Linked DNA regions of Saccharomyces cerevisiae S288C. Changing the gene in region 2 together with the main gene of any one other region gives a genetic interaction. Each region holds a gene or a part of one and is shown on either strand. Other genes may lie near its edges.

Region 1 (3,301 bases), on a different chromosome or scaffold from region 2:
TTGAACGCTTCATCCGAAAACAAAGAATTGTATGTACAAGCCACGCACTTTAATAACACAATTCTATTGCAAATCAGACTAAATGGGGAAATGGATTCCACCTATGAGGTATCTTCAAAAGGACTAAACCCAATTCTCGATATCAACGTACCACTGGCAGGAAACCTAGGAAACACGGGTGGCGATTATGACGATGAGGAAGAAGAATTTGTAAGAGACCATTTATCTGATTATCAAGTGGTTACCAAGTTGGGAGATAGTGCCGATCCTAAAGTACCCGTGGTATGCGTACAGATTGCCGAACTATATAGGAGAGTTATTCTACCAGAAGTGAGCGGTACGATGGCCCAAGACAACATGCAATTCAGCTTGCTGATATCCATGAGCAGTAAGATATGGAGAGCAACGAAGGAACAAAGCGCTGACGATAATGATTTTGGCAAATTAGTTTTTGTGTTAAAGTGTATCAAAGATATGTATGCAAAGTGATTCTATATAAATTAGTTATGCGTTGTATTATCTATGACTGCCATATCCAAGACTTGCACAGTTCCCTTTTTATCACATAGGGTCATCAAATCTCTATAATTGACAGGATCGATAAGACCTGTACATGTCCAAGGATCCAATTCCGGCTTCGTTGACTCTCCAGGCGATGAAGCTATCAATTTACTAATCTTCTCAATAAGTTCGGGTTGTCTAGATGGCTCACTTATGGCCACTTTGACTTTCATCTTCGCCCTTACTATTGGAATAATTTGCTTAGAAACCAATAATTTGATAGCCTCTAAAGCTTGCAATTTGGCAGGTTTGTTAATAACAGGGCTGAACTTCAGTTCCTGTAAAGCTTTGTGGATCATTGTGGGCGGATATCTTTTCTTTGACACAGGATTTATACATTTAGCGCTAACTATTGTAAGCATTTCGTTATTAACTTTATTAAGCATTAATTGTCTTTCTTTTTCCGATAATTGAATCTCTCCCTTATGCATGATCTCCTCGATGACATCATCAACATTTGTAGTCCCGAAACACTTTTGTAGATCTTCCTTATTAGCAACCAAGCCTTTCGAAACATTCATGAAAACTTGATGTATCTGCAGCACTTCATCCAGATCTTTTTCAATTCCTTTTCGATAGTCTTGGACCTTATTTTGGTAGCACGCGACTTCAAATCTCTTGCGAGCCTTTTTTAATCTCACTAATGAAACATTAGTTAACTTAATCTGTCCCGACGGTTGATTGATAGGCATTGCGTGTTTTACCTTTTCTTTCTCAGAACTATTTTAGTAAAAATTTTAAAAACTTTTACTACTGCATGAAATCACTTAAGTTCGGCCTAGAAAAATTTTTTCATGAACATTATTATATATACAAGGCACTGAGCAGAACAATACACGCTAAGTTTTGTTCTTTCATGAGGTCATAATAAGTTAAATAACAGTCAATACATAAATGCAAAACTAAAAGTACACAGTTTTATTATTTTCTTTTCGTCGTAATGTAGTTTTTATAATCAGTCAACTTTTTTTTTGCTTTTAGATTTCGTTTGTTCCTTTTGTCTTTGGATCCAAAGTTTCTTGAAAATGTAGCCAAAACAATGCCAGCAGGAATATCGAAAAAGATGGGTATAATATAAGTAAAAAAAAAATTTTAACAATGAAATAATACAGGAGAATTCGTGGTTTACAATTTCTGGTTTTTTTCGAAATTGCTATGTGGCTTCTCCAACAATGTAATTGTAGGCTTTTCTTTCTTTTAAGTCCGTTTATCGTATACAGAAAAAGTGCAGGATGTTGTAAGTAAAGGTAGTCAGTCATACCATCATGACAAAATCCACCTCTTGGCAAACATATCTAAAATAGCTCTATAATGGCCGATGACACCCAACACTACGAAGAAATGCCAAAAAGTGTGCGAACAACCAAAATAGTCAACCCACCATAGAGATTTAAATGATTTGGCATGAGACGGACAGGAACTGCATTTGGAATGGGCTGTTGGCACCTCTCTAAAATGAATTTCCCTTTGCTTTGTGATGATTTCTAAATCAGTAGATAATTCGTAGTTTGTTGGAATGGTCTTATCAACCTGAACGTCAGATCTGAACCGTTCAGGAATGAACGAACCGTAAAATACCACACCAACCAAATACCAAACAACAGATTTGTATGTGACGGGGCTAAATAGCGTTGCAGCATAATGAAGATCAGTCAAAAATATCAAATGTAAAAACGACAATACACCCATAGTAGCCAGCAAAATGAAGAATCTAATTCTTAATGGCCTTGCTTCAGGTCTATCAAAGCGAGGCGACCAATTCATAAACACACCAAATACACCCAGCGCCAGAGAAATACTCATGTAAGTGTACATCGCCCAGTAACATGAATACATGGTAACAAACTCCGTTGTCAATATCGAAGCTGTAATTAAGATCGTAATACCGCTATAGTCGACACACGCAAATTTAGAACGTAGCTTCAAGAAGGACGTTCCGTTGAAAGTATGCCAAAACACGGAGCTTAGCATACATTTCAACGCAGCTGCCAAAAACATGAAAACAATCCATCTAGCCTGTGGTGGAACCTGGGAATTCCGCCAAACTTCAGACTGAGGGAAATCGTAAATTGCCAAGTAGATTATATAAATGGCTCCTAACAAATGAGACCAAATATTTGAAGTTTCATTATGCCAGCCGTACCAGTTAAAGATAGACAACAAAGATTTGGAATGGGTATTGTAAAACCTATAGCCATGGATTATGTATCTGTTTTCCCTCCATGGGAATGGCAACTGATAATAATGTAAATGTTGAGTTTCACCTAGACTATACGCTTTGCCATGGTTGTATGAGTTTATAAAAGACTTGATATCGGTAGTAGGATTCAAAGGTTCTTCAATGAGGATTTCCGTCTTTACCATGGATTTTCTCATTGGACCGCAATAGTCTTTCACGCTGGAAATATAATTGTTTTCCTCTTTGATTTTTGTATCATTGAGACGACTTGTTGGGGAACGTAACGAGGACTTCGCTTGAGAACATACAGTTGAAGATGAAGACACCAGTGAAGTGGATGTAGAAGCATTGTTAAGCTTGAAAGTAGCGACTGAATTCACCAAAGTGGCTGCATCTGAATCTCCCAGTGAAAACTGAGATTCTGTATTCAGAGACTTGCCACTGTTTCTTTTGTACACAGAACTTGTTACTTCCTTTTCTTTTGTTGGACGAATTATCTCCAAATCATCATACCGCCCACTTTCAGAGTGTTTAACACTTTCATCAATAGTTGAAAATGGA
Region 2 (3,894 bases):
AGGTTTAACGATTGAAGAATGTCAAAATAGATTACCTAATACAGGTATTGATGGCGATAATTTCCTGCCAGAATCAATGTTATGGCTGTTGATGACAGGTGGTGTGCCAACTTTCCAGCAAGCTGCTTCTTTCAGGAAAGAATTGGCTATTCGTGGAAGGAAATTGCCACATTATACAGAGAAAGTTTTGTCAAGTTTACCCAAAGATATGCACCCTATGACCCAACTTGCAATTGGTTTAGCATCAATGAACAAAGGATCCCTCTTTGCTACAAACTACCAAAAGGGCCTCATAGGAAAGATGGAATTTTGGAAAGATACTCTTGAAGATTCGCTAAATTTAATTGCTTCACTCCCGCTGCTGACTGGGAGAATTTATTCGAACATTACAAATGAGGGACACCCATTAGGTCAATATAGTGAGGAGGTGGATTGGTGTACAAACATATGTTCCCTGCTCGGCATGACAAATGGAACGAACTCTTCTAATACATGCAACCTTACTTCCCAGCAATCCCTGGACTTCATAAACTTGATGCGGTTATATACCGGTATACATGTAGACCATGAAGGTGGTAATGTTTCTGCTCACACCACCCACTTGGTTGGAAGTGCGTTGAGTGACCCGTATCTCAGCTATTCATCTGGAATAATGGGATTAGCGGGTCCTTTGCATGGGTTAGCAGCACAAGAAGTAGTAAGGTTTCTCATAGAGATGAACTCTAATATTTCCAGCATTGCACGAGAACAAGAAATCAAAGATTATCTTTGGAAAATTTTGAATTCAAACCGTGTGATCCCCGGTTATGGGCACGCAGTTTTGCGTAAACCGGATCCTCGATTTACAGCAATGCTTGAATTTGCGCAAAAGAGGCCTATTGAATTTGAGAACGACAAGAACGTTTTGTTGATGCAAAAATTGGCAGAAATAGCGCCTAAGGTTTTGTTGGAACACGGAAAGAGTAAGAATCCATTTCCCAATGTTGACTCTGCATCGGGGATTTTGTTTTATCATTATGGAATCAGGGAATTATTATTCTTTACCGTCATTTTTGGGTGTTCAAGGGCCATGGGACCCTTGACACAACTTGTTTGGGATCGCATTCTAGGTTTACCAATTGAAAGGCCCAAGAGTTTGAACTTGGAGGGTCTGGAAGCACTTACCAAAGCAAGCAATGTTAACAAGTTGTAACGCAGTTCCAATTTACAAGAATGCTTCGTTTGCTATTACAATATTGAAATATAAATAAAATTCCATACAGCATGTCTAATCATAGCTAATTTATACATATTCATCATGAAAACATATAGGGGAAAATATGGTCGGTTAACACACCTATCAAAAAATTATTCAGCAATTCCAATCTCGTTAGTAAAATATATTCTTATTTTTTTTTTTTTTCTCTGATTGTATTATTTCTGGAGTTTTGACTTATTTTTTTACCACATCGCGCTTTTCGTCCCCAATCTCTCTGATATATGATGCTGTCTATAGGTAGCCACTTCCCCGATGTCGGACCTCGGGCCGTTTACAAACTTTATTGAGATGACCTTATTTCTCCACATTCTAGTCATTCAACTTTTACCCTCATATGTTTACCTTCACTAATGTGAAAGCATGACCAAAGAAAGTGTATAAGGTATATAAATCTGCCATAATGTATGTATAACTTATTAGGACTTTCTCAAATAGTATTTTGGTATTTTCTACTGTTCTCTGATGATCGAGAGCAAACAGAATGTTTTTAGCCAAAAATCTAAAAAATAATAAAATCAAGGTATGCTTGCCTAAAAAGAAATTTGCTGCGCTGAGTACAGCGTCTATACAAACTAATGAAAGACCAAATCCAGATAAGGTTTTGAAGGACATCGCGAAATATGTCCATGAAACCCCATTAAAATCATCTTTGGCTCTAGATACAGCACGACTCTGTTTCCTTGATACTCTAGGCTGTGGCTTGGCGGCTTTGAAATTTAAGCAGGCTCAAAATATTATTAAACCAATTGTGCCAGGAACAATAGTTCCCAGTGGAACAAAAATATTGGGCACATCTTACGTTATGGATCCAGTGAAGGGAGCTTTTGCCATTGGTACTCTAATACGTTGGTTAGATTACAATGACTGCTGGTTAGCTGCCGAGTGGGGGCACCCATCAGATAACCTTGGGGGAATTTTAGCTGTCGCGGATCACTTGTCCAGATTAAACAAGGCTACCCACGGAAAGAATGGAAAACAGTTTCTTGTTAAAGACGTATTAGAGGCAATGATTAAAGCGCATGAAATCCAAGGTATTATAGCGCTCGAAAATTCTTTCAATAAAGTAGGTTTAGATCATGTGGTACTCGTGAAAGTAGCAACGGCTGGTGTTGTCTCGAAGATGCTGGGCCTGAGCCAGGAACAAACTATTGAAGCATTGTCACAAGCATTTGTAGACGGTCAATCACTGCGTACTTACCGTCATGCCCCAAATACTGGATCTAGAAAGTCGTGGGCGGCGGGAGATGCAGTTTCGAGGGCTGTAAACTTGGCTTATTTAGTCAAAAATGCTAATGTTGGCACGATACCTTCAGTATTAACAGCTAGAACCTGGGGATTTTATGACGTTTTATTTAAGGGTAAACCTTTTTCATTCCAACAAAGATCAAAATATGATTCCTACGTCATGGAAAACGTTCTGTTCAAGATATCATTTCCTGCCGAATTCCATGCGCAAACTGCTGTAGAAGCTGCTGTAAAAGCATATAGGATTCTTGCCAAACAAGGGAAAACTTTTAAAGATATTAAATCGATCAGAATTAGAACTCAAGAGGCGGCAATGAGGATTATAGATAAATCCGGTCCTCTGTATAATTATGCCGATAGGGATCATTGTATCCAGTACATGATCGCGGTTCCGCTGATTACTGGTAATCTCACAGCTACTGATTATTCGGATGAGGTCGCAAGAAATCCTGAGATCGATAACTTGAGATCGAAAATGTACTGTATCGAAGATACTCATCTCACTCAAAACTATCACGATCCTGATAAAAGGTCGATAGGAAACGCTCTTCTCATAGAGCTGAACGATGGGACGCAGTTGGATGAAATTTTTGTAGAGTACCCTGTTGGTCACAAATTTAGACGAGAGGAAGGAATACCATTACTAATGAATAAATTTCAAAGGCATCTGCGCGAACATTTTGTAGAGAGCCCTGATAAAGTCGACCTTATAATGAAGGTAAGTTCAAAAACAAACTTTTTGAATATGCAAATCGACAAATACATGGATTTGTTTACTGAGGGATGAATGGTTGGCTCTTTAAGAGCGAACGGCATGGTACCTACTTCAATTTTTAAAGACAAAAGGCGCCGTTTCGATAAACAAGAAATCACTTTCAAAACATAATTAAACCAAAGAACATGCGGTTTTCTAATTATGCTGGCTTAATTTTACTGGTATTTATCTACATAATAATAACTATTAAAAAATTAAATAATTGGCTCTATTTATTTTTCTTTCTTCAACTTGCAAGAGTTCGTCAATTCATGGAAAAATACAAAAATAGAAATGCGAATTCTGTGGATCGAACACAGGACCTCCAGATAACTTGACCGAAGTTTTTTCTTCAGTCTGGCGCTCTCCCAACTGAGCTAAATCCGCTCAATTTCTATGCTCTAACCACCTTAGCTAAAAACTCAATACAGGATTAGTTGATAAATGGGTGTTATCAACTCAATCCACAGTGTTGGAATCAGAGTCAGTTATCATCTTTGGGCTAGTATTATTGTAAGTGTTGGAATAAAAATTCTAAAATATCATCCATTTAGTAGTGTTCATATTACTAATATATCTGTTGGAATAAAAATCCACTATCGTCTATCAACTAATAGTTATATTATCAATATATTAT
Region 3 (3,294 bases), on a different chromosome or scaffold from region 2:
TTTATCTTTCTTTTTTTTCCTCCAGCACTAAACCTTCCATAACAATACTATTAGAAAGGTTGTTATCAAATATTAAAATAACTATTAAAGTGATACAAATATATATATAGATGACGATGGGCATAAAAAAGCTCGTTTCTAATCATCAACTATACGTTTCTTGATCAAAATGCACTGAGCAAAATATTGTTATGAAAACATACTTGCTTGACGAAATGGATTAAATGGATCCATTAAATTAAAAAATGAGTCTAGAATTGCACTTTATGATAGAAAATAAAAATTCGACAAGAAATGGTGATAATTTAACGAACGAAAATATTGAAACGTCAGGAAAATAAAATAAAATATGATAAAAGTTGAAGATGGAGTAAAATAATCTTGTCAAATAATCAATAAAGACAGTTTTATCCATTTATAGGATTGGCTTGAAGTAGAAAATTCTTCAAAGATGATTGAAAGAAAGAAGAAAGTAGCACATAATTGACATGACGATTGGCTTATTCTTCAGACTTCTTAGACTTCTTAGATTTCTTGCTCTTCTTAGACTTCTTTTTCTTGTCCTTACTCAAGTTTGGTGTAGCAGCAGGTCTTGGACTAGCAACTGGAGCTTTTGGAGCCATCACTGCTTCGGCATCACTAGGTCCGAAATGGTAGCCCAATTTGTCAGCACCGAAGTGGTTAGCAATTGGAACCAATAAAGTTGGAATGAAACACATCAAAATAAGATCAATGATACCATAGAAAATACCGGCAGAGTCTGGCTGCAAAACGTTACCACCATCGGTAATACCGAAACAAGTTGGGTAAGCAATAATCCACAAGAACATAATAATGCTGAAGAAAACAAGGAATGTCAACCTGATATCGTTATCTCTTTGTTTCACCAAGTTGTAACTGGTGGTCATAACACTGATACTAACGACAATAGCAGCACCTAGACCGATGGTGTAGTAACCCCATTTGTAAGTGGAGTGAACACAGGCAGCGATCAACCAACAAACAGTGAAGAATTCAGTAATACAAACATTGAAAGCCATTTGCCAGAATGGGGTACCAGCTAGCATACAGATTTGAATAATTGGCCATGGCAAAGCTAAGAACCAACCAACGAATCTAGAGTAGAAGATTTGTCTGTAACCTGGATGTTCTTTTTGAGTAGAAGTTTGGACATGGTTGTACTTAGCCTTGACTGGAATCCAACCTAAGTTAGAAGCCATGGTGAAATAAGCGATACACATGAAAAAGTTTGGAGCAATACCGGTAAGGTAAAAGAATCTGTCATTGACTGGTTTTCTGAACATTAAGAATGTTAAAATTAAACCAAATAATAGGTAACAACAGAAACATGTCCAGAACCAATCGGAACCACGACTAGTGATGTGGAAATCCGCACCGGTTGGAGGGTTAATTTTGATGGCTTCGTTACCACCTCTTTTAATTAAAGTTTCAAAGGTAGACATTGTTATTTTTCTTCTTTGTTCTGTGGGTTAAAGGAAGATGATTAGATATTAAGTGAAATTAGGTATTAGTTAAAATTAAAGCAAAAAATTAATGTTAAAATAGGGTCAAAAAATTGGATGTAGAGAAAGAAAAAGTTATTGAAATAATAATATTTTTGTTCGAGGAAACTTTTTTTTTTTCTGAGTTTCTTTTATTATTCTTTTTCTTCGCAATGTTTCTTAACAATAAGGACAAAAGATAGTGACAACGATCTAAGAATTAAAATAAGCTTAATAATAAATAAAAAGAAGAACTTGAAAAGGGAAAAAGAAGAAATAACGAGAAGTGGGAAAGAAATAAGGATATATCTTAAGTTACCGAAAAAGACACTACTTATAAATGAAGAAACCAGGTGAAGAGATCCTTTGTTTTACGAAGACCGTATTTATACATTTCCCTTCATGTACATGTGTGATAAATTGGAAAACCACTTCTGGAATTAAACTGCTTTTTCTGACATCCTTGTGCAGTCGTTACTGCGATTATTTACATCTTTACTGATTCGTATGAGTGTTTATTTCCATTTTGCCTTTTTTGTCCAGGAAAACTAGAGATGCCGATTTTCGGTTAACAAAAAAAGTCCTGGTGAGGGAAAAAAAACGCTATTTTTTTTGCTCACCGCACTAAGAACTAGCCGGAGAAGACTAAGCTAGGAAAGGGATGGAACAGATGACGACGAAGAAGATTAAGTAAAAAAGGTAAAGGGAGACGAGATGGTGACAAGTATCTCTTTTTTTTATTGCCTTTTTCATATTACCTATTACCGCAAACTGATATATTTCTCAAAGGAGAAATAGTAAAGTGGAAGAGGTTTGGGTCTCTTGGTAACCGGACTACATTTGCAAGTTGCATCTTCCATCGAAGTATTAATTCCCTCCATCCTCTTCTCACTAACACCGGCACGATTTTAAAAATTTTTCAACTCCGTTGTTGAATTACGTATTCCTCTTTATGGTAAGCGCTAAGATGAACAGCGCTGAAAAGCAAAATTTGAATGCTTGAAATTCAGAACATGACTATTCGTTCAGTACTCGCTTCATTTGCATCCTTAGTTAATTTGGCCTGAATTACTTTTTGAATTCAAGAGATAGTGCATAAAATGCGGCCCCCCTTTCCAGCTTCCATAAATTGCGCTGATTGCATGTCTGACTAAGCTTTTTTTTTTTTTTAAGCGACCTTGTCTCGAGGAGCATAATAAAAAAAAGGGAGTAAGGTCGGCGGCAGTCGCTTTTATTAAACTGAAGTAAAACAGAACAAAAATTACTTAAGGGTCGCTAATATTACCCTTATCCTCTCAACAAAAGATAAGAAATTAATTGACCTATACCTATAATACCTAATAAACCCAAAAGTGTCTTGCTCTGATGTATTTGTTTTTTTTAACACAACCTTGCTACCTTAGGCCATCGAGAAGAGATTGAGGTCAAAGTGGAAGCGTTGGAAAAGAAGGAAGACCCATAGTATAATGAAGCTAGTTACCATCCTTAGACGACGCCCATATTTTTCAATTTCTCTTATTTTTTTTTTACGCAGCGTAGCAGTTATGGACAAAAGCCGGCCTGAAACAAGATTGAGATTAAATGAAAGGGCGTCTGCTTGTATATGAACTCAGTCGTCCACTCTTTTTAAAGTACTCTACTTATATAAAAAAAAAAGATAGGGATTTACAATGTTAATTATTACACGCAGCATCTAGCGTATGATTGTATGTCCCGAATGCCCCGTTATTACCCAATAAAGCAAATTAATACGGTCTTTTTATAAAGCTGTGCTTCTTTTTCGGGGTAGTTT

What was found. A genetic interaction does not mean that the proteins touch.
Region 1: mutations in PDH1 (region 2) and SDO1 impair growth when combined (synthetic growth defect), as found in Saccharomyces cerevisiae (one study listed by BioGRID).
Region 3: mutations in PDH1 (region 2) and MRH1 together harm fitness more than expected from each alone (negative genetic interaction), as found in Saccharomyces cerevisiae (2 studies listed by BioGRID).

Annotation. Positions count from the first base shown.
Region 1 is NC_001144.5:183,674-186,974, forward strand, and holds SDO1 (guanine nucleotide exchange factor SDO1), read right to left. Parts: upstream 1,254-3,301; coding exon 501-1,253; downstream 1-500. Other genes in the region: IRC25 (Irc25p), read left to right, coding at 1-489; IZH3 (Izh3p), read right to left, coding at 1,825-3,301. UniProt on the Saccharomyces cerevisiae protein: Involved in the biogenesis of the 60S ribosomal subunit and translational activation of ribosomes.
Region 2 is NC_001148.4:556,646-560,539, forward strand, and holds PDH1 (putative 2-methylcitrate dehydratase), read left to right. Parts: upstream 1-1,739; coding exon 1,740-3,290; downstream 3,291-3,894. Other genes in the region: citrate (Si)-synthase CIT3, read left to right, coding at 1-1,192. UniProt on the Saccharomyces cerevisiae protein: Catalyzes the stereospecific dehydration of (2S,3S)-2-methylcitrate (2-MC) to yield the cis isomer of 2-methyl-aconitate.
Region 3 is NC_001136.10:506,316-509,609, reverse strand, and holds MRH1 (Mrh1p), read right to left. Parts: upstream 1,464-3,294; coding exon 501-1,463; downstream 1-500.